5 linked regions of the Macaca mulatta genome follow. The protein of the gene in region 1 purifies or fractionates together with the protein of each later gene. This does not show direct contact. Links are inferred from orthologs where the notes say so. Each region holds a gene or a part of one and is shown on either strand. Other genes may lie near its edges.

Region 1 (5,140 bases):
AAAAGCAAGCAGGGAAAACAAAACACCTTCCTTACCTGCCTGTTTTCTTTTAACGGCTGGAACTTCCACAAGCTCCTCAGCAGACTTCCGGTGCCGTTTCTTGGCTAGAATCAGATGACATGGCCACTTCTGGCAGCAACGGAGGATGGGAAAAGGAGGGCCTTGCAAAGGGGGACAGGATTGCCAGGGTGGATTTAAAAGGATTAGACTTCACCCAACTGCTCTGGGAAGTGGTAGGGTCACTGGTGTGGGCAGAGGTTGGCCTCTGGAAGGTGAAAAAACGGTCTAGGGCTGGAGGTCTCTTGGATTTACCTGGCTGCCCAGATAAATGGGGAGGGGGAGTCTGCAGAGGTATAATGGGGAGAATCAATTCAGAGAATCTGACAAGATTCAACTGGGCTTAAAGAGCAGCTATCTGCCATGTGTCTGACTCAACTCAAATGCCACTTTCTTTGGGGACCCTTAAGTGAAAGGGCTGCTCCCTTACCTCACCCAGCGCTTACAAAACTGACCCCTCATCTATGCCAGGTCTGGGCTGGGGGCTGGAATCAGAGTAATAAAGACACAATCCCTTCCCCGCAGAGGTTAACTGAAAATAGGTAAATTACAAGATTGTGAGGGGGAAGGGAGGTTCGAAATTAAAGTCATCACCAACAGGGCTGGCAGCCCTGGCAGAGAAAAGAATAGCATAGCCTAGTGCAGTGGTTCTCAATCAGAGACATTTTTCCCCCAAAGGACATTTGGTAATGTCTGGAAACACTTGGTTGTCCTGAGGGGTACTACTTGGTATCTAGTAGGTAGAGGCCAGGGATGCTGCTACACATCCTGCAATGCCCACAACAAAGAAATGACAGTGCTGAGGTTGAGAGACCCTGGCCTAGTGCAAGACTTCTCAAACTCTGGGCCTCGGGATTCCTTTATGTTCTTAAAAGTTTAAGACATTCAAAAGAGTTCTTGTTTATGTCATATAGCCTCTGGATTCAGAAGCCTCTAGATAATTACACTGTACACCCCTGAGAGAATGAGAGTGAAAAAGTATTGTGAAAATAGTTTTCATTTTGTGAACCCCCAAGAGGAGTTTTGGACCGGTAGACAGGCTGGGACCACACGGTTGGAGAATGTTTGACCTGGTGTTTAAGGTCACAGCTCTGGAACGAGATTTCTCAAGTTTAAACTGCAGCTCCATCACTTATTAGCTGAGGGACATTTCTGGTACTCAGCGTCCAGTTGTTACCCATGGGTGATAAGGACAGTACCTGCTGCCTGAGGCTACTATTTTAGTCCAACAAAGCACTTAAACTGGGCGGACAGCTAGTTTAGTTATGATTGCTATGACTCCAACAAACATAGGGCCTGGGGCTAACTTGCCTTCAACACCTTGTCTAGTGAATAAATCTAGTTCAGGAAGAGAAACAATGACCCGCAGGCCTAGGTGGGTCTCTGGAGGTGGAAACCTCTTTTGCATTGGGTTTTGATGGTTAAGGGTAGTACAATAAAGGGCATTCTGATCAGGCTAACAAACGCTGCTCCCAGGGTAGGAGTCCTCGCCCACCTCGCCCACCTCGGGAACCTCAGCCTCCACTTTCCATGCCACCTGTGCCCATACAGGGCGTTGGAACCCCACAAGGCACTTTTGTCTTTCTTGGTTCCCACTGAAGATTTTACCCCACCTAACCCTTCGACGCGTCTGTGCGCGGGGCCATTTCCAATATGGCAGTAGCCCCGCGACTGTTTGGGGGGCTCTGCTTCCGTTTCCGGGACCAGAATCCGGAAGTGGCTGTTGAGGGGCGTCTTCCAATCTCGCACAGCTGCGTTGGCTGTAGAGGAGAACGGACAGCGATGGCGACGGTCGCAGCAAATCCAGCTGCTGCTGCGGCGGCTGTGGCGGCGGCGGTGGCGGTGGCTGAGGATAGAGAGCCACAGCGCGAGGAGCTGCCAGGCCTAGACAGCCAGTGGCGCCAGATAGAAAACGGCGAGAGTGGGCGAGAACGTCCACTGCGGGCCGGCGAAAGCTGGTGAGGCTGGGCTGCGGTGAAGCCTCGGCAGAGGGGACAGTGGGGGCATTGACAACCGCTGGAGATTCGGCGGCCGAGGGCGGCGGGAAAGCTGCTGCGGGGTGCGGGGGCGGGGGAGTGGCCGACGGGACAGCGGGCTAAAGGGGCGGGGAAGTGTCTTTGAATGAATCGCAACGTCTGGAAAAGGGGCGGGGCCTGTGTGGTGCAGTCTGACGCCTGAGAACAAAATGGGGTTTGTTGTGATGAGACCGGTTTCAGCCCTGGAGGTGGGGCCGGGCCTGCGTAGTGAAACTGCGTAGGAACCTGGGAGGAAGGTGGGTTCTGCGATGTAAGGCGGGGGCGCGGCCTGCGCTGCGTAATGCAACTTTTGGGGGCGGGGAGCGGTCTCCGATTGCTCTGGCGTGGCTGGGAACGAGGCGAGCTTTGTGACGTCAGCAGAAGAGCGGGATGGAGCCGAACGGTCCGAGGGAGGGAGCGGGGACCTGCGTGGGGGAGGAGCTTGGAGCCTGGGAACGAGGTTAGGTTGGTGACGTGAGCCGAGGGGCGTGTTCTGAGGCCGAGGGACGACAGTGGAGGGGAGGTGGTGCCTATAAGGCAGAAAATGGCGCCTGCGAATAAGCAAAGTTTATAATGCGCAGAGGTTTTTTATTCTGGCAGAAGCCTTCCCGAGTCGAGAGAACGTGCAAGTGATTAGCACGGGAGGGGCCTTCCATGTTCAATTGATTTTCTGTCTTGGTACTGTTTTGGTTTTAGAATCAAGAAAAAGTCGTTTTTTTAAAAACCGATAATTTTGATAAATCGGCTTGTTTTACTGATTTCTTGCTAAACAGTGCTTCTTGAGATTTACTGCTTCTGGGTTCATTTTATTTCTGGCCGAGTTGCATCTGGTTTTTTAATTGTGAAATACGTAAGACCTAAGAAGATTGTATAAAACATTTACGCAGCCCAGATTGACGGACATCCTTTTAAAATAAACGGCTACACTCTTCAAAAATGTCAGGGTCGTGAAAGACAAAGGCTGAAGAACTGTTCTAAATTGAAGGAATTAATGCGATTTAACGAGTCATGATAACTAAATGCAACATGTGATCCTCGATTGGATCCTGGAACAGAAAAAAAAATTATTTTAAAAATCAATTTTTTATCATAAGATTATTTTTGTCTCTTTTACTGTAAAAGGCAATGGAAACATCGGTGAAATTTTATTAAAGTGGGTAGATATTAGTACTACTAATTTCTTAATTGTGATCATTGTGGCATGAAAAATAATACCCTTGTTTATAGGAAATGCTGAAAAATTTAGGGATAAGAACTCATTGTGTAAGCAGTTTATTCTCAAATGCCTGAAAAATTAGCATATATAAATTTATATATGGTGAGGGGAAAGGGGAAATTAGGGAGATGTTGGTCAAAGGATACAACATTTCAGTTAGACAAGAAGAATAAGTTCAGATCTATTGTACAACTATAGTTAATAAATTCATTGTATACTTGAAAATTGCTGAGAGATTTTACATGTTCTACCACCCCCCAGAAAATTGATAAGTATGTGACGTAATGGATGTGTTAATTGCCTTGACTTAGTCATTCCACAATGTATACATAAGTCAGAACTTCATGCTGTACACCATAAATATATACCATTTTTGTCCATTTTTAAATAAATAAAAATACCAAAAAAGAATGCATGTAAAGAAACAACGATTGAGCAAATGGGTAAAATATTAGATTTGGAGGATCTGGATGTGGGATATGTGGGAATTCTCTGTATTATTTTTGCCATTTTTCTCAATCTATTTCAAAGTTTAAAAATTAAATAATAATTAAATAAAAACGTGTGAATTCACCATCCAGGTTAAGATTCAGAACACTGTCTTGAGAAATCCTTCTTTGCCCCTCCCAGATGGAAATTCCCCTCCTTGCTCCATGGGAAACTGTTATCCTGAATTTTGAGTTAACAGTCTCTTCCTTTTCTTTGATGTTTGACCACAACTGTATGCATCCCTAAGTAGTATGTAATGTCTAAGCTTTCACTTTATACATATATGGAATATATATATAAAATTCTACTGGATGCATACTGTGAGCCCTTCTCTTCCTATCAGGTGATACATGGTATCCACATGACATCATTGGTGATGTTAACCTTGATCACTTGGTTATGGTAGTGTTGGCCAGGTTTCTCAACTGTAAAAGTACCGTTTTCCTCTTTACGTACGCAATAATTGTTTTTAAAACATGTATCATGTCCAACCATTCCTCAAAATACCCCTAACAGCTTCCCATCTCTTGCAACGTAGATGCTAAAATCCTTACAGTGAATCGTAAGACTTTATGAAGCTGGTCTCCAGCTTGCATTCTGATGTCTTCCCAGATCTCTCTTCTGATTACGCACTCCCTCTCTGTCTCCATCCAGGCCGGCCATATTGGACTCTTGCTGTTCCTCAAACACATCTAACCTTAGGGCTTTTTCGAGTGAGGTTTACTCACTACAGAGTTCTTTAATAACCACACCAGTGAAATGCGTATCTCTGTTACTGGGGAGATGAGTTGAGATTTTCCAGATCGGGAATACAAACCCAAGCCGTGTTTTTCTGCCATTACGTCATACCTTTCCTACAAGAAAAAGCCTCATTTCATCCTGAGAATAAACAAAATAACCACAATGTTTTATAACCCATTTGAAGATGTTCAAAAGGGCCTTGAGGCTTTGGTCCTTGCCTCTTTCTACCTTTGTGGCCTTGTGATTGTGTCACTGGTAGATAGGACATTACATCCTGTCATCCTTGACAATACCCTTTAAAATTACCCCACCAGTACTGGATTTTCTTTTGGGATGATGAACTATTTTGGAACTAGGGAGAGGTTGTGGTTATACAACTGTGAATGTTCTAAATGCCACTGAATTGTTCACTTTAAGATGGTTAATGTTATGTGAATTTCACCTCATTAAAAAAATTACCACACAAGTGTTGGTTCAGTATTGAAGCCCGTTTGTCTCTGCTGTCATGGGTATTATCATGAAGCATTTTTGCTAAACTCCACTTTGTTAATGCTTCTCTATTTAGATAAGAGCAAAGCATCTCAAGGTTCTTTATTGCTGTCCATTTTCCATTTTATAGGGG
Region 2 (4,776 bases), about 62 Mb from region 1:
GATAAAATGACATTTCTTTGAATTTAATGATACTAATTTTGAATTCCACATTTTTGTGTATATGTTTTAAAAGAGGAGAAATAGTTGTTAATACTTTGGCTCCATTACCAAAATAACTTAGCAAATAGTTACCAAAGATAGCTTAAAATCACTATAATTAGATGATTAAAACAGAAAAGCAGTTCTTTTCAACTGATTTGATATTATTTTCATCAAATTCTTGAATAATTATAATAATTTTATGAAAGTTTATACTGAGGAAATGGAAACACCTAGCCTCTATAATTCAGGAAAAAATTCAACATTGAGGACAGTACTGTTGGTTATGTGGTGATAATGACAAACACACATATTGATAGAGCAAAATATTGTAGGAAGATCGAGGTTTTACTAAATGAAGATGTGTAGCAGAAATATCAGAATTGTTTGTGTAACATACATAATTCATAATCATATAATCATGATAAGGTATTTTGCAAACCAAAATAGTTGTTGCCCAGATTTACACACACAAAAAAACACACGACATACACATATATATGTACACAATATACATCTACACATATATGTGTGTATAAATAAACATATGTGTATATATACATATACATGTCACTACACTGTAGAAGTTAAAATATTGGTAACTTTTAGTTTTTGTGGGTGGTAGCTTCACAAATGTGAAAGAAAAGGAAAGAAAAAAAGACAAAGGATGGGCAGGGAAAGACATAACAGGACAGGAAAGAAAAGGGAAGGAAGAGGGACAAGCAGGGATCAATAATAAGGGTGTCTTGTAAACCAAGGACTATGATGAATTTGTGCATCTGAAATTCATATTTAAAAGGTTTTAATGCTTTCTTTTCTACCTGTCTGAGATTCTCTCTCTATGAAAACTGATCAAATGTTGGAAGGTAAGTTTCAAGTGCACAGAGAGGCCATGGGAGATGGCAAGAAGGAAGTTGGTGAAATAAATTTGGGGTACACGGGCTTTTAGGTCCCTCAAGGACTCTCGGGCGGTGATGTCCAATAGAGAGTTGGCAAAGTTGATATGAGACACGGAGAAGGGAATAGCCTGGAGATGTAGATCTGGGAGTCATCGGTGCTTTCTGGAAATGAATGAGATCACACAGGGAGAGACAACTTGAGGACTGAGGAGAGAGGAGGCCCAGGACAGAACCCCAGGAACACCGCCACTCAAGGTGGCAGCTCAGCTTCCTGGCAGGCGTCACTACCCCGGGCTCTGGAGTCAGGCAGAGCCAGTATTGAAAGTGGGCTGTGGAGTTCTGGGGCTGAGCGCTCTTGGCAAAGTCGGGTACCCTCTTTGATCAGCTGTCACACCTGGCGATAATGGGCATCAGAGAGAGATGCCTTGCGAGGATGCTGTGAGCTGCGTCAGGTAAAGCACCTGGGGTCAGAAAGCCACCCCTCCTCCTCTTCTCCGCGACCCCACTTTGCTACACAAACGCACCGAGACTCCGACAGTCCCCAGCCTCCGGTCCCTCAGGGATGGAAGATGAGGTATGTCAGGCAAGAGGGGGCGCCGAGCTCCAGGGTGAGGTGTGTCGGGCAAGAGCTGGGCCGAGCTCCAGTGACGCGGCGCTCACGTGACCCGTCGGACGCCTACGTGGGCACCAGCCCCCACGCCAGCCCGCCAGCCAGCCCAGCGGTCGGGTCCCGGCGCCCGCGCAGAATAAGCTGTCTGAGCTGCCCAGACTGCTGGGGAGCAGCGAGCCGGCTTCCGCGAGCCGGAGGAAGCACAGGCGTGTCCTGGGTACCCGCAGGTCAGTGTGAAAGCGGGCGCTGTCGGCGGCCCCTGGGACAGGGGTGGAGGGGGCTGGCAGTAGGATTGGGGAGGGAGCGGAGAAGGAATCCTGTAGATTGGTGAGGAAGGGGATGCCTGCGGAGCGGACCGGGGTGGGGACAGGGGAGGGAGAACTCCCGAAGCGAGCCTGGCTCGCCTTCACGACGCCCCCTTGCACTGAGTCATCCATCCATTTTTAGTGCTAGAAATGAGGGGTGGGGGTAGCGACTCCGCAGTGCGACAGTGAAACGTAGACATATTCTAGAAATAATCCCTTCTCACAATCTATGCCCATAGAAACACTTGATCTCCGCAAAAATGGGGTGGCGCTGGGGCAGGTTGTCTCAGGGAAGGGGGACACAGAGACAAACGCAGTTTGGAAAGCATCCTGGTTTGGTGCCCGAGGCCTGGAAAGAAATGGCGGTTGGGGTGCGGGGGATGTAGGGGAGAAAAACATTGGGTGAACAGGGCCTGGACTCAGGAAAGGGAACCGAGTCCCCTGTGAGCCCGCTGAGCGCGCAGTCCCTGCCCCTGTCTCCTATCTGTCCGCAGGTCTGCGCGTCTGTTGTTCCCAGCGCTCTAAGAGGCCTGAAAAGGAGGAGCAACCTGTCCAGAATCCCCCGCAGGTCCGTGAAAGCAGGGGGCTGCATGGACAGGGGCCCACAAGGGTTGAGAGTGTGAAGGACCCAGCTAGGGCCGAATCGGGGCCCCTGCCCTTCCACCCACCCACATGAACACACACTTTACCAGGCTGAACCAGTGCAGAGAAGGTGGCAGGGCCTGTCAGGGAACAGCTGGCTCACGTGTGTGGGAGGAGTGGCAGGCTATGTGGTGGGCAGAAGGCCCTCTTGGAGGTCCGGTCAGCTTAGGGGAACCCTCACCAGGGGTGAGATGCAAGTAGTATCCAGACCTGCATTCCACGCCAGGCCCTCAGTCTCCCATGTCTCCTCTTTGTCTCCCCTTCCCTCAACCCGCATCCCCCAGGAAAGGAAAAGGAGGGGAAATCTCGACATGGAAAAATTCTTCAATGAAAATGAAGGAATGCTTTGGAACCAAGGAAAGATAGAAAATGAAGAACAGCCACCGGACGAGGGAAAGCCAGAAGTAGCTTGTACTCTGGAAGACAAGACGTTAGAAAACGAGAGAAAGACAGAAAACAAGGGCAAGACAGGAGATGAGGAACCGTTAAAGGATAAAGAAAAGCCAGAGAGTGCAGGAAAGGCAAAAGGAGAAGGAAAGTCAGAGAGGAAGGGAAAGTCAGAGATGGAGGGAGGATCAGAGAGAGAGGGAAAGCCAGAGAGAGGGGGAAGGGCAGAGGGGGAACGAGAGCCAGACAGTGAAAGAGAGCCAGAGAGTGAGGGAGAGCCAGAAAGTGAAAGGAGGTCTGCAGGAAAGCGCCCAGCTGAGGATGATATACCCAGGAAAGCCAAAAGAAAAACAAACAAGGGGCTGGCTCAGTACCTCAAGCAATATAAGGAAGCCATACATGATATGAATTTCAGCAATGAGGACATGATAAGAGAATTTGACAACATGGCTAGGGTGGAGGATAAAAGGAGAAAAAGCAAACAGAAATTGGGGGCGTTTTTGTGGATGCAAAGAAATTTACAGGACCCCTTCTATCCTAGGGGTCCAAGGGAATTCAGGGGTGGCTGCAGGGCCCCACGAAGGGACACTGAAGACATTCCTTACGTGTAGTGTCCCTGGCAGGCATTTATCAGGCCATATGTTTTAACCTTATGGTAATACTTTGCTTTAGTTGTTCCTCCTGCTACCAGTAGCCTTTTGACCCACCTGCCAGTGCTTGCTTGCTCTATGTTTCAGTAGCAGATTTTCACACCTGTGCATTTCAGAGACGTCATGATTCATGGAAAAATAAAGCAGCTTGTAATATCATCTGCAGAATCTGTCTGTTTTTGTTAAATACATGAAAGGTTAACAGTGGTTTTCTGAGTTGTGAGCTAGCAGGTGATTTCATTTCTTTGTTTTCTTTCTTTCTACTAATCTTTCTTTTCCCAGAGAACACAAATTACTTTTCTCACAAAAATAATAAAATATTTTTAAAAATCAGAACACAGTATGTAAAAAACAAAGAGAATAACTGTCCAGTGAACTTATGAAGTTCAGTAGAGACACTTAAAGTTCTTGTTGTCAGAACTTAAAACGATAGGTAAAATTCACATTACCTACCTGTGGGACTCATCTGGAGAAGTCAACCTGGGGTTATTACAGATCCATTGCTCTAATGGACAGTCTTGTTGTTTGTCAAATGGAGATAATACTTCGCTTTTCAGAACTGCTGAGTGGGTTGGATGAGGTAGAGAATATATGTGTTGGGTTGGCATCTACCTTCTCCCCTGCTCTAGCAGAAAAAATACCCCCTCAGACACTTGGAAGAGAACTAGGGTAAATCTTACCTGTATCCAGGAATAAGTCTAGGAAACTGAAAGGTGGGTGCCATCCTTTCTTAGACAATGTCATGTCCACTGGGCACTGCGCTCCTTCTTATAAATCTTGCACCCTCCTAAAGCTCCCATTGATGCTGATGGGCTGAAGTTCTCAAGATAACAAGGTCCGGTTGATTTCCCTGGAGTCCCCAGTGAGCCAAGCCTACTGACCCCATTCCACGACACCTACGAAAATGTGGATAAAGTCCCTTTCCTCACTTTAGAGTTATACTCGCCCAATAGGGTAACACCTCAGTGATACTTCAGTCCCTGGGGGATTTCAGATTTTTAGTAAAACAATTGTTTCTATGCTTGTTGGTTTGGAAGTGTTTGCATACAGCCATCTTTCCACCAGATTCAAGGATAGAAGGCTGGGGTAAAATTTGAGTGACACACATTCATCTGTTCTCATCTGTCAGTGACTTGTATGCTTGACTCATCTTTCCTTAGAGGAATTTCTCTTCTAGGAAAGTTCTTCCAGGTCTCACCTTACCAGTTTAACACCCCTACCCACATTTGTAATTTTTAGAGCAA
Region 3 (4,885 bases), about 63 Mb from region 1:
CACCCGCCACCACGCCCAGCTAGTTTTGGTATTTTTAGTAGAGAGGGGGTTTCACCATTCTGGTCAGGCTGGTTTTGAACTCCTGACCTCAGGTGATCCACCCGCCTCAGCCTCCTAAAGCACTGGGATTACAGGTGTGAGCCACCGTGCCTGGCCAATATTTTTATTTTTAAATAATTTACAAAGTTGATCTTCAGAAAAATTTCACCAATATATTCAATAAGAGCAGGGGAGGGTGCATGTGTCCCCAGTCCTTCAACAAATCTGTTAAAAATTTTCATGTAATCTAATCTATCAGCATTTGTCTCTTTGTTATATAGTCACACTGCATATCGATTGGCCAACGACAACAGACAGCATAGAATACGACAGGCTATAGTATACAGCCTAGGAGTGTAGTAGGCTATACCATATAGGTTTGTATAACCACACTCTACGATGTTCGCACCACCACGAAATTGCCTGATGCATTTCTCAGAACATATCCCCATTATTAAGTGGCACGTGACTATATTTAAACGCCTTCCACACCAAAAGCTTATGTGGAGATAAACGGAGACTACCCATAAGAGAACAAACAAGTGCTACTTATTCACAGCTTTTTTATAGCAAGGAAGTCAAGCCACCATCATTTGAATCTGGCAGAGATTCAAAGACAGGCAGGGGAGTGGGAAAGCTTTATAGCGGAAAACAAAAACACAAAGACTTCAAGTATGCTCTGATTGGATGTTGTTGACGTGAGGAAGCTAGAGGCAGGCCAACTAGAGGCAAGCATCCTATGTGATTGAGTATGGGTTCATATTTGGGTTTTTCTTGTTTGTCATCAGGTCAAAAAAATTAAAAAGGCCAGAAAGGCTAGCAAATTGATTAAAGTCCTGAACATTTCTGCAGATGCTATACTTTGGCTTCTTGAGCTGCTTGCAGCAACGGTTGTGGGTCTCAGTTCTATTTTCGTATGTGGTCTGGTCATTGTCTCTGTATATTCAGTTTCTCACTTAAGATAAATTAATCGTTTTTATTTTGCTTCAAATATAACTTTTTTTATTCATTTGAAAATTTATGTTTGTACATGTCAGGAAAAAGGGACAATTTCATTTATTTTGGAAAATTTTTATTAAGTTTTTTCTAAAGTCGATATTCTATTCTTTATACAGTACTTGAGTTCACATTTATACGATTTTATCGGGTGGGTCTACGTTATTTCTGTGGAATTTAAGAGCAACATTATCAAGACTCCTCCTCTGGACCGCCCAACTCATTAAAAAAAAAAAAACAACTTTGCGATTTTCATTAAAATTCCTTCTTTGATTAATTTCTTAACAAGAAGAAAAGGACAAAAGGGTCCAGGGAGGTGAGAGGGTACCTGCTGGAGAGAGGTGGTGGGTAGCTGGAAGCGGCTGGCTAGGAGGCGGGGCGTGGGGCGTGCGGCGGTGGAACTCCTGTGCTGCGGCATTCACGTGATCTGCCTGGGCGCAGATGTGGGCACCGGTCCGAGTGCCCGCCCTCTGTCCCCGCGGCTGGGTCCCGTCTGCTCCAGTTCCTGGGCTCCTAATTCTTGGTCCAGCTTCCTCCAGGTCAGTGTGCGGGCCTTCCACGCTGCCAGCGGAATGCTGGAATGGCGGAAGGGGAACGGGTACAGTACCGGGAAAGGCTGGGGGTGGGGTCGGGTCGAGTCGAGGGAAGCTGGCCCGAGTGTGGACAGAGATGGCGGTGGGAAAACGGCTAAAGGTGGCTGAGGGGGAGCACGTAGGCAGTGGGCAGAGGGTGAGGAAGGCGAGCACCTCCAAGTATCCAAGCTCGCTTTCCAGGCACATCCTCTTTTCTGCCCTCCGTCCATTTTGGAGCCGGAGATGGTGGGCTGGGGACGCCCCAGTAGTGAGACAGTGGAAGTAAACCCCCTCTGCCGTTCCCGTACATAGAGAAAAACGTTGACCGCGAGGCTGGGGAGGAGAGTTGCCTCTGAGGAAGAAAGACATAGAGACCCAAAATTAGTTTGGAAAGCATCCTGGTTTGGTGCCCGAGGCCTGGAAAGAAATGGCGGCTGGGGTGCGGGGGAGGTAGGGGAGGAAAACGTTGGATGAGAAGGGCCTGGACTCAGGAAAGGGAACCGAGTCCCTGTGAGCCCGCTGAGCGCGCAGCCCCTACCCCTGTCTCCTGTCTGTCCGCAGGTCTGCGCGTCTGTTGTTCCCAGCGCTCTGCGAAGCCTGAAAAAGAGGAGCAACCTGTCCAGAATCCCCGCAGGTCCGTGAAAGTAGGGGGCTGCATGGACAGGGGCCCACAAGGGTTGAGAGTGTGGAGGGCCCGGCCAGAGCCGAATTGGGGCCCCCGCCCATCCCCCCACCCACATTAACACACACCTTACCAGGCTGAACCACTGCAGAGAAAGTGACAGGGCTTGCCAGGCAATGGCTGGCTCACGTGTGTGGGAGGAGTGGCAGGCTACGTGGTGGGCAGAAGGCCCTCTTGGAGGCCCCGCCAGCTCAGGGGAACCCTCATCAGGGGTGAGATGCAAGTACTATCCAGACCTGCATTTCATCCCACGCACTCAGTCTCCCATGTCTCCTCTTTGTCTCCTCTTCCCTCCACCCCCATCCCCCAGGGCACGAAAAGGAGGGGAAATCTCGACATGGAAAAACTCTACAATGAAAATGAAGGCATGGCTTCAAACCAAGGAAAGATGAAAAATGAAGAACAGCCACAGGACGAGAGAAAGCCAGAAGTAGCTTGTACTCTGGAAGACAAGAAGTTGGAAAACGAGGGAAAGACAGAAAACAAGGGCAAAACAGGAGATGAGGAAATGTTAAAGGATAAAGGAAAGCCGGAGAGTGAGGGAAAGGCAAAAGAAGAAGGAAAGTCAGAGAGGGAGGGAGAGTCAGAGATGGAGGGAGGATCAGAGAGAGAGGGAAAACCAGGGATAGAGGGAAAGCCAGAGAGTCAAGGAGAGCCAGGGAGTGAAACAAGGGCTGCAGGAAAGCGCCCAGCTGAGGGTGATGTACCCAGGAAAGCCAAAAGAAAAACTAATAAGGGGCTGGCTCATTACCTCAAGGAGTATAAAGAGGCCATACACGATATGAATTTCAGCAATGAGGACATGATAAGAGAATTTGACAATATGGCTAAGGTGCAGGATGAGAAGAGAAAAAGCAAACAGAAATTGGGGGCGTTTTTGTGGATGCAAAGAAATTTACAGGACCCCTTCTACCCTAGAGGCCCAAGGGAATTCAGGGGTGGCTGCAGGGCCCCACGAAGGGACATTGAAGACATTCCTTATGTGTAGTGTCCCTGGCAGGCATTTACCAGGCCATGTGCTTTACCCCTACGGTAGTACTTTACTTTAGGCATCCCTCCTGTTACTAGCAGCCTTTTGACCCAACTGCAACGCGGTGTTCTTAGTAGCAAATTTTCCTCCGTTACATGGAAAGAATGTTGATGGTGCATTGTAAAATTAAAAAACACAACTTGCAGAACCAAACATATGGCATCAGTACATTTTTGTAAAACTACAAAGATACCTAGTAATTTATGTATAGAAAACAATTCTGAAAGCTGTGTCAACTAAAAGATTAACAGTGGTTATCTGTGCGTGATTTTTTCTGTACTTTTTTGTTCATCTGTCCATTTTTCTCCTAAAAACAGATTTCTTAATCATAAAAATAATAAAAGTTAAAATATTGGAAAACAGTGAATATTTGAATTTCATTCATTTGAATAAGCATTCAAATGAACTGCCCAGTGAACTTATAAAGACAGTGGATATACTTAAAATTCTTGTTGTCAGGACATAAAATGATGGGTAAAAGTTGCATTACCTCTGGGACTGGAAGCTGGAGGAGTCAACTCGATGGTTATTACAGCTCCATTGCTGTAAGGGACAGCCTTGACATCTGTGAAACGGGGATAAAATTAGCCTAGACATGTGGAGAAGATCAAATGAGGTATTGAGTGTGTGAGCTGTGTTAGGCTGGCTCCTACTCTCTCCCCTTGCACTAGCAGAACCAGTACCCAGTCAGACGCTTGGGGAGGGCTGAAGGAGGTCTCACCTGTGCCCAGAAATAAGTCCAGACAGCTGAGAGATGGGTGCCACTCTTTCTGGGTAATGCCATACTTGAAAGGTAGTATGCCCCTTTCTCATGGATCCTGCACCCTCCTAAGGCAGTAGCTGCTGCTGCTGGGCTGGAGACCATGATGGACTAAGCAACACTATGTCCCAACAGAAAAGTGGAGAATTCCGTCTCTACCTACAATAGAGTTATCCTAATTCAGGTTGTTAGTACCCAATTGTCACTTGGGCCTTGATATTTTATAAAGTTTTTACAAAACACTGCTTTCCATGTTTTTTGTTGACTTGTGTGTGTTTTTGCATATAGCCGTTTTCCACCAGATTTAGATAGTGGAGATTGAGCCAGGAGAAAAAGCTGAGTGACGAGATGCTGTGCTATTCTCATTTGTTAATCTCTAGTCTGCTGACCCTTTTTTCTTACGAATTGTCTTCCAGGAAATTTCTGTTAAGCTCTGCTTTACTATTTCAATAGACCCATCTACCTATGTGATTTTTCCCCCTGGCTCTTGAGTAGCTTTTTATTTCGTTACAGTATTTTTTTAAAATAAACTTTTAGGATGGTTTTAGATCTACAGAATTATTACAAAGAGTACAGAGTATCCCATATGCACTGTCCCCTATTATTAACATCTTACATTAGCAGGGTGGATTTGTCACAGTTAACCAATATTGATAGATATATTATTAAGTAAAGTATGTACTTTATTCAGATTTCCCCTAATGTCCTTTTTCTGTTCCAGGATCCCATTCAGGTTACATTTAGTCGTCATGTCTCCATAGGCTCCACTTAGCTGTGAGAGCTTTTCAGACTTTGCCTGTTTTTTG
Region 4 (3,332 bases), about 63 Mb from region 1:
CTATTATAAATAACTACTGATCTATATATATATGTGTGCACATGTAAATATAAGTTATTTAATATATAATATATTCAGTGTGTATACATGCATATATATGTGTGTATACACACACGGACAAATGCGTATTTGATTTACAAAAATTAAAGTATTCATTCTTTTTAGATCTACAAACTTTACAAACTTAACTCTTTCTAGAGGTCTAGAACTGAATGATTACCAATTTAGGTCTGGGGGCTCAAAAAAACAAAATGTGATGTCAAGAAAAAGTGAAAGATTGTCTCCCATGAAAGTGACAAGAGATGAAAACATGCTGAAAGAGCCTAAATGGACATGATGGAGATATGGATGTGGATTAAAACTGAGAGTGTTGGGATATAAGGATATAATACTGATTTATGAAGGTGAATAGTCAAATGTCAGTGCAGAATCTGAACTGCAGGGGAAATAAGGGGCCTTGGTGGCTAAGAAGTGAGGAGGAGAGAAAGAGGTGGTACCAGGGGAAGTAGCACAGAGGAAGAGGCAATACTACCCGAGACTAGATGCGGACCGTCTCTGGCAACCAGGAAAAGGCAAATACAAAGAGAGGTGAGTGACAATGCCTGGTGTGTCTGGGGTCAGGGAACACTAGCAGGCACTAGCAGGTGGCTGCGGCAAGGCCGCGGGTCAAAGTGGTAACTGGGGATCTGAGTTCGGCAGTGACGCGCGTCCCTCACGTGACCAGGAGCCTATGTCTGCCCAAGTCCCTCTCGTCCCGGTCTTTTTTTGCCTGTCCACCATCTCCCTATTACCTTTGGTCGAGAGGGAAAGCAGAAGGAAGTAAGTTCCCTCTACCCTCTTAAATCGGTGTGAGTGTCGGCGCTGCCTAGTAACCCGGGGAATGGGGTTGACAGAATCGGGATGGCGGAGTCCAGGCCTTTCCCTACGCTCCAGCCCCGCCTCCCGCGCCCATATTTCTGTGCAAAATATGGTGGTCTTGGGGGCGGGGTGGGAAGGCGAGTGCTTCCCCCGTCCCTCGGGAGGGAGGTACAGACACTTGGAAATAGTTTCTAAGAATGCTTCGCTTCCACTTCCCATCTGAAAAGAAATGGCAAGCTTTGCGGGGTGGGGAGGTGCGGGCACGGAGGACGAAGCTTGAAGCAGGGTCTGAGACTAGAGGAGAACCCGAGGGGTGGGGGGCGTGCAGGCAGTGGCTGGTGCCCAGAAAGTGGGGGATGGGGGGTGTCAGTCAGTCCGTCCCTCCTCCCCACTCCCCGCCCCCTACCCTGTCTTGCGTCTGTGTGCAGGTCTGCTGGTCACAGCGGGGCACCTCGAGGAGAGGACGACTAGAAGCACACGGCCCGGAAAGGTCCAGGTCAGGGAAGGGGTACGCAGTGGACCGGGACTGGGGCGCGAGGGTGGACGCCGAAAGGCATGGAGTCTGCAGGCCGCACTGTCCCGCCAGTCACTGCGGGCGAGGCCTGTAGCAAAGCCTGCTGGGAAAATGGTGGGCTTTCGGGAAGGAGGGGGCGACCGGGAAGCGGCGGAGTCGGGAGAGCCGGAGAGCCTCTGGGAAAGCGCAAGGTTGAGGGCCTGGGCCCCGAATCAGGAAAAGGCAGGTATTGGAACCCACGGTTTGGGTGTTAGTCCAGTCACTTAGTATTCTGACTCTATTCTGCCTTTCTTGTCTCCTAAGAATAACTGTGCTTGAAGAAGAAAATTCCCAACATGGACAAACCACGCAAAGAAAATGAAGAAGAGCCGCAGAGCGCGCCCAAGACCGATGAGGAGAGGCCTCCGGTGGAGCACTCTCCCGAAAAGCAGTCCCTCGAGGAGCAGTCTTCGGAGGAGCAGTCCTCGGAGGAGGAGTTCTTTCCTGAGGAGCTCCTGCCTGAGCTCCTGCCTGAGATGCTTCTCTCGGAGGAGCGCCCTCCGCAGGAGGGCCTTTCCAGGAAGGACCTGTTTGAGGGGCGCCCTCCCATGGAGCAGCCTCCTTGTGGAGTAGGAAAACATAAGCTTGAAGAAGGAAGCTTTAAAGAAAGGTTGGCTCGTTCTCGCCCGCAATTTAGAGGGGACATACATGGCAGAAATTTAAGCAATGAGGAGATGATACAGGCAGCAGATGAGCTAGAAGAGATGAAAAGAGTAAGAAACAAACTGATGATAATGCATTGGAAGGCAAAACGGAGCCGTCCTTATCCTATTTAATGTGTTCGCCCTTTAATTCTGTTTTGCCTGCTAATAGTATTGCCATTGCCACCTGGACTTTCTGTGCGTTTTCTTAATGCCTTTTCCCATATTCTGAATTTTAACTTTTTGTGAGGATTTATTTTAGATGTTTAGCTTGTAACTCGCTTAAAGTTGGGGTTTCCCCCTAAAATTTACAAGTTTCCCTCTTTCAATCATAAGTCCTATACATTTGCATGAAAGATGTACATTATATATTGTGAAACGAAAAAAGCAATTTTCAAATGGTATATATTGTATCCCATTTTTGTAAAAAATGTATATTTATATATTAATATGCAAAGAAAAAACAAAGTATATACTTCAAAGGTATAACAGTGGTTGTGTGGTAAGATAATAGGTGATTTTTAAAAATTTTGCTTTATCTGAATTTCTCATTTTTTCAAGACAAACATTTTACTTGTGTTGCAAAAATATATAATGAAAAAATCACCCAATTTTGAAAAAAACTGTCAATCAGCTTATAAAGACAATGTGGCACTTAATAAATACTTGTCAGAACTTAAAAAAAAAGTGAATCCTATGTTTTTTTCTGAATCTCTTAGGCACAAATATAAGCCAGATATTGATTATATTTAATAGTCATTTTGTTCTCATTTAAATAGGAATAATACTTGCTTTACAGTGCTGCTGTGGGACCGGATGAGAAAAAGATTGTGTGAGCTGTGTTTGGGGTCGTTATTCCACCTGCACAGGCAGGACCCCAACCCCTATAGATTCCCTGCAGACATAGGCAGGGTACCCAAAGGAGATCTCACTTGTGCTCACAAACAATTCCGGTGAGATTCCAAGTGAGTGCCACATTCTATTCATGTCCTGCTGTACTCTCAGATTCTTACAGTATCTGCTAGGCACTGCTGCTCCTTCTCCTGGGTCCTGATCCTTCCACTGGCTCTCATCCCTGCTGACATGCTGGAGTGCTTAAGGTACAAAGCCTCACTGATTGCTCTGGAGTCCCTGTTGGGCCCAAGCTGAATTGTATCTCCTGCAGATATATGAATGCCCTTTTTCCAGCTTTGATATTGCACTTAGCTAGGAGGCTACCATCCCAATGCTGCTTAGACCTCAATGTCTTTAAAAAATGCTTAGTAAAATAGTTCTTCCTT
Region 5 (4,428 bases), on another chromosome or scaffold:
GTCACAATCATGGCACTTAGGGTGGCTCTCAGTAGAAACAACATCTGAGGCAACCAGACTGAAGGGCAACACCCCTCTGAGAACTAGAAAACCTCATAGAGGAATCCTTTCAATTTCCAAAGTAAGATTCACTGCTTCAAATATTTTTAAAAGTCAAATGATTTGTGGCCGGGCGCGGTGGCTCACACCTGTAATCCCAGCACTTTGGGAGGCCGAGGCGGGCAGATCACGAGGTCAGGAGATCGAGACCATCCTGGCTAACACTGCAAAACCCCGTCTCTACTAGAAACACAAAAAAATTAGCCGGGAGTGGTGGCGGGCGCCTGTAGTCCCAGCTACTCTGGAGGCTGAGGCAGGAGAATGGCGTGAACCCGGGAGGCAGAGTTTGCAGTGAGCCGAGATTGCGCCACTGCACTCCAGCCTGGGCGACAGAGCGAGACTCTGTCTCAAAAAAAAAAAAAAAAAAAAAAAAAAAGTCAAATGATTTGTTAAATGGGAAGAAAAGGAAATAAAATATTACACCACAGGATGACTGTAACTCAGTAAAAATATGAAAGTGCTATGGACTTTAGATGGTTGTGAGGAGTCAACGTAGGTTCACCAATTAGAACAAACACACCACTGCACTGGGGGGTGTTGGCAGCTGGGGAAGCGGTGCGTGAGTGGGGCAGCGGAAGATGGAGAAACTTCTGCTGATTCCTGCTGTGAATCTAAAACTACTCTACAAAATAAAGTCGCTTTCTTTTTTTTTTTTTTTTTTTTAAAAACAGAGTCTCGCTCTGTCACCTAGGCTGGGGTGCAGTGGCGCGATCTTGGCTGACTGCAACCTCTGCCTCCTGGGTTCAAGGGATTCTCCTGCCTCAGGCTCCTGAGTAGCTGAGATTACAGTCGTGTGCCACCACCCTGGCGAATTTTTTATATTTTTGGTAGGGATGGGGGCTTCACCATGTTGGCCAGGCTGGTCTCGAACTCCTGACCTCAAGTGATCCATCCAGCTTGGCCTCCCAAAGTGCTGGGATCACAGACATGAGCCAACATGCCTGGCCAAGTCTTTTTTTTTTAAGTGTACCTATAGCAAGAAATTAGCAAAGGACTATTGTAGGTGGGTGATAGAGTTGTGGATGACTTTTTTTCAAATTACAAACAAATAAACAAAAGACAAATGAGGCCCCTCACTGTGCCCTGAGTGCACAAGAACTGCTTTGCTATGAAATAAATGGCTCTTCTAAGACAACAGTGGAAAGAATGCTCACAGCTCTCTGGTGCAGAGAACTAGGCCCAGCAGCAAGCAGAAAGGGCTGGCCCAGGCCACCTGGCCTCAGGCGGGGTCCTCACCTGGCCAGGGCGGCCTGGAGCTCCTCCTCTTTCTTGGCCAGCTGCATCTTGAGCTCCGCAATCTGCGCCTGGAGCTCGGCGATCTGGTCGCTGAGGTCCGTGGAGTCTCCCTCCAGCTTCCGGCGGGTCTTCTCCAGCTCCTGTCGCTGCTTCTCCTCCCTGCGGAGGCGCTCTGCAAGGAGCGGGGAGCCCACATAGCCCTCAGTGCCGTGGGTTCTGTCTCCGTGTCAATTACTTATACAAAATACCGAGCACTCGTTATGAAACGTGTGTCAGGCTGAAAGCATCACAAATACACAGACACTCACACCCAACTCCTGCACGCAGGAAGAGGACATCACCGCAAACTGCCAGCCCCTGGCGTGTCTCTCTCCAACTCACCCCTCGTCCTTCCCTGCCAGGAGTTAAGTACTCTCCTAAAGCTGGTGTTCGTAACCCCCTTGGTTCCCTTGAAGGTTGTACCATGTCTGTATCTCTAAAAAACATGTTCAATTTTGTGCGAATCTCAACTTTTAAGATGGAACTGCCTTGTGTGAATTCCACAGTTGGAATCACAGAGTCAGGGCTCGGTGTCTAGCTTTATAACTCTGTGATGTCACTAGGGAAAGCTACTTTCTATACCTCGTCTGAATAACAAACAAAAGGAGACGGCCTACTTCATTAGGATGGTGTGAGGGGCCAATGAGTTACTATCTTAAAAAGCACCTAGAACAGTGCCTGGCTGGTGATGTTTATTCCCTGCCATGCCTTTGCCACCCCATCCCATGGTCTTGAGATGTAGCCCGTGAAGTTTTGCTGGAATAGATGTGTATGGACATTTATCTAGCATTCCATGATGTGAATACACCACAACTTATTTATGTACCCGTCCTGCAGCTGGCAGGCATGGGGCTGTGTTCATCGCACACTCTGATACACAACGCTGCTGCAAGCATCCTGCTCACTCTCAGCGCAGACGGCTGAGTGATGGATGGAACGGCCGGGTCACCAGCATGCCAAGCTTCAACCTCACTAGGACCGCTGGATCGTTCTCTAACGCCGTCTACCAGTCTGCAGTCCCAGCAGCAGCGTGTGTGTGCTCTGACGGCTCCGTGTCTGTGTTAGCGCTTATTAGTGTCAACCTTTCATGTCTGTCCACCTGGTGGGCGCCACCCCTAGACCTCCTGGATGACCAAGTCTTCCGCGCTCCTCCCAGGTGAGGCAGGGTATCTGTGGGCTAAGAGATCTCTCTAGTGTCCAGACCTCTCTTCCGCTGGACCTGACTCACCTCATCCCCTGCAGATGTGAGGGGGCTGGACAAGGCTGTGACACCAAGCCGGGGAAAATCCTCCCGGCAGTCAGGCTGTGGCCTCCCTCCCCTGGGTATGAGCTCAGAGTTCCCACAATAGTCAGGGTTCTCCTGTTCCCCCAGTTGTCAACTCCTCTCAAGGGGCAGGGCCGGGGGTCCTCAGACAACCACGGACCTGTGTTCTACCCCAGCGCCCCTCCCTGCCACAGATCCCCGGGGCACACAGAGACAAGGCAGGATCTGTCACCCTGCCCCAAATGAGCTTCCGCAGTAACTGTCAAGGACTTTACGGTACATACGTGTTCACATGTATTTAATGAAATTTTCACAGTACCCTAGCACTGTGTCCCCTTTTTAGGTAAAACTAAAGCTCATGGAGCTTAAGTCACAGGTGTAAGATGAGCCAGCTAGTCAGTGACAGAGCTAGTGAGTCCTGTGGGCCAAACCCAGAGCCTCCTAGGCAGTCTCAGAAGCTTCCAAAACCCACGGCACACGACAACAGGGCAGCGCCAAAGCTCTCCTTTAAACACACTTCATGCAGGGGGGCAACTAGCCACAGAACAACAGGGGCCTGGAGGCTCAGGCTCCCGCAGGCACCAGACACGGCTCCCCTCGACCTGTGACCTCAGGTCTGAAGGGCAGCAGCCAGTGCTGTAGTGTGGCCCAGGCTCACCCGTGAGCTGAGGAGGCCTCCGTGTTCCGGTCAGACAGGCCAGCCCCTGCCCGCCAGCCCCTGCCCATCACCTCCTGCCCGTCACCCTCTCACCTTCCAAGTCGGTGATCATTGCCTCATGCTTGTTCTTGAGCTTGGCGAGGCTCTTAGATTTCTCCTCCTCTTCCGTGAGGTTGGTGGTGAACTCAGCTATCCTGTCTTCCAGCAGTTTCTTTTCCTGGGGAGAGGGGAGTAGGCCGGCATTTAGTGTCCGTTGAGCAGAGAACACTAGCCTCAAAGCATGACTCGCCCGGAAATTTGGGGCTGAATGGAGAGGGCTTTAGACACTTGATCAAGTTCATGAGGATTTTCCTGGATCAAAGGATAATTTTGAAAGGTCACCAGCTTCCCTGAAACAGTGAGGTATATGCTTCCTCAGGATCGAAAAATGTGGGTGCCCAAGCCCTTCCCCTTCCCCTGTGGGCTTGGGTGAGAAAGGCTTCCAGGTGACAGCTAGTGTCAGCAGGGACAGATGGCTCCACTCCTTCAGGAGGCTGCCATACGGCGCTCACCTGCGCCACCAGGCCACCTTCTCCGTGCCCCTCTCTCACCTGCCAGGGGGGCCACAGCCCCTCCCCCTCTTTAGCCCCGCGGTACCCCGGGCTGCTCTCCTTGCTTTCTGTTCTGTGTGGCCCCCACAACACCCCTGCCCAGGGGCCAGAGCTTGGCACAAGCGCCTCAGTCCTCTCATCCCAGTCCCGGGCGGACGTCCTGCCACCTCAGCCTTTGGAGCTCCCGTGGTCTGAGGAGCCCCAAAAGGTGGGGAGGCTGCCTTCTCCTCTATCTGGTTCCCCGGCTGCTATCTGCTCCCTGGGCAGACACTGACAGGGACCAGCTCATTCTCAGGAGGAACGGCTGCCGCCCAGGGACAGTGGAGGAGTACCCCACATCTCAATATAGAGCCACCAAAGTGTCCCCAACCCCACAGTGACCAACGCCTGCAATGCTGCACAGATGGCCACCTTTACAAAGGCTTGGGTCTCACGGGTGGCAAAGAAGAGCTTTCCAGAGGGGAAAGGACAAACCCTTCCCCAGGGCCCCTTCGTTTATGAGGAAATCCCTCAACGATGGCCCATGGGACCTCCAGGGAGCA

Evidence for each region.
Region 2: the proteins of USP11 (region 1) and TCEAL2 purify together in Homo sapiens (affinity purification with mass spectrometry; 3 studies listed by BioGRID). This does not show direct contact. The link is inferred for Macaca mulatta from reciprocal best matches to the Homo sapiens genes USP11 and TCEAL2.
Region 3: the proteins of USP11 (region 1) and TCEAL4 purify together in Homo sapiens (affinity purification with mass spectrometry; 3 studies listed by BioGRID, with this or other methods). This does not show direct contact. The link is inferred for Macaca mulatta from reciprocal best matches to the Homo sapiens genes USP11 and TCEAL4.
Region 4: the proteins of USP11 (region 1) and TCEAL1 purify together in Homo sapiens (affinity purification with mass spectrometry; 4 studies listed by BioGRID, counting the BioPlex papers as one, with this or other methods). This does not show direct contact. The link is inferred for Macaca mulatta from reciprocal best matches to the Homo sapiens genes USP11 and TCEAL1.
Region 5: the proteins of USP11 (region 1) and MYH9 purify together in Homo sapiens (affinity purification with mass spectrometry; 3 studies listed by BioGRID, with this or other methods). This does not show direct contact. The link is inferred for Macaca mulatta from reciprocal best matches to the Homo sapiens genes USP11 and MYH9.

Annotation. Positions count from the first base shown.
Region 1 is NC_133426.1:47,263,168-47,268,307, forward strand, and holds the start of USP11 (ubiquitin carboxyl-terminal hydrolase 11), read left to right. Parts: upstream 1-1,819; 5' UTR 1,820-1,839; coding exon 1,840-2,015; exon of another isoform or gene 2,016-2,329; intron 2,330-5,140.
Region 2 is NC_133426.1:108,873,463-108,878,238, forward strand, and holds TCEAL2 (transcription elongation factor A protein-like 2), read left to right. Parts: upstream 1-1,624; 5' UTR 1,625-1,775; intron 1,776-2,347; 5' UTR 2,348-2,431; intron 2,432-2,779; 5' UTR 2,780-2,806; coding exon 2,807-3,493; 3' UTR 3,494-3,691; downstream 3,692-4,776. UniProt on the Homo sapiens protein: May be involved in transcriptional regulation.
Region 3 is NC_133426.1:110,221,954-110,226,838, forward strand, and holds TCEAL4 (transcription elongation factor A protein-like 4), read left to right. Parts: upstream 1-1,503; 5' UTR 1,504-1,574; exon of another isoform or gene 1,575-1,808; 5' UTR 1,809-2,057; intron 2,058-2,145; exon of another isoform or gene 2,146-2,168; 5' UTR 2,169-2,241; exon of another isoform or gene 2,242-2,251; intron 2,252-2,599; 5' UTR 2,600-2,626; coding exon 2,627-3,277; 3' UTR 3,278-3,679; downstream 3,680-4,885. UniProt on the Homo sapiens protein: May be involved in transcriptional regulation.
Region 4 is NC_133426.1:110,265,121-110,268,452, forward strand, and holds TCEAL1 (transcription elongation factor A protein-like 1), read left to right. Parts: upstream 1-1,707; coding exon 1,708-2,187; downstream 2,188-3,332.
Region 5 is NC_133415.1:15,265,351-15,269,778, reverse strand, and holds part of MYH9 (myosin-9), read right to left. Parts: intron 3,514-4,428; coding exon 3,390-3,513; coding exon of another isoform or gene 3,368-3,389; intron 1,552-3,367; coding exon of another isoform or gene 1,508-1,551; coding exon 1,336-1,507; intron 1-1,335. UniProt on the Homo sapiens protein: Cellular myosin that appears to play a role in cytokinesis, cell shape, and specialized functions such as secretion and capping. Required for cortical actin clearance prior to oocyte exocytosis. Promotes cell motility in conjunction with S100A4.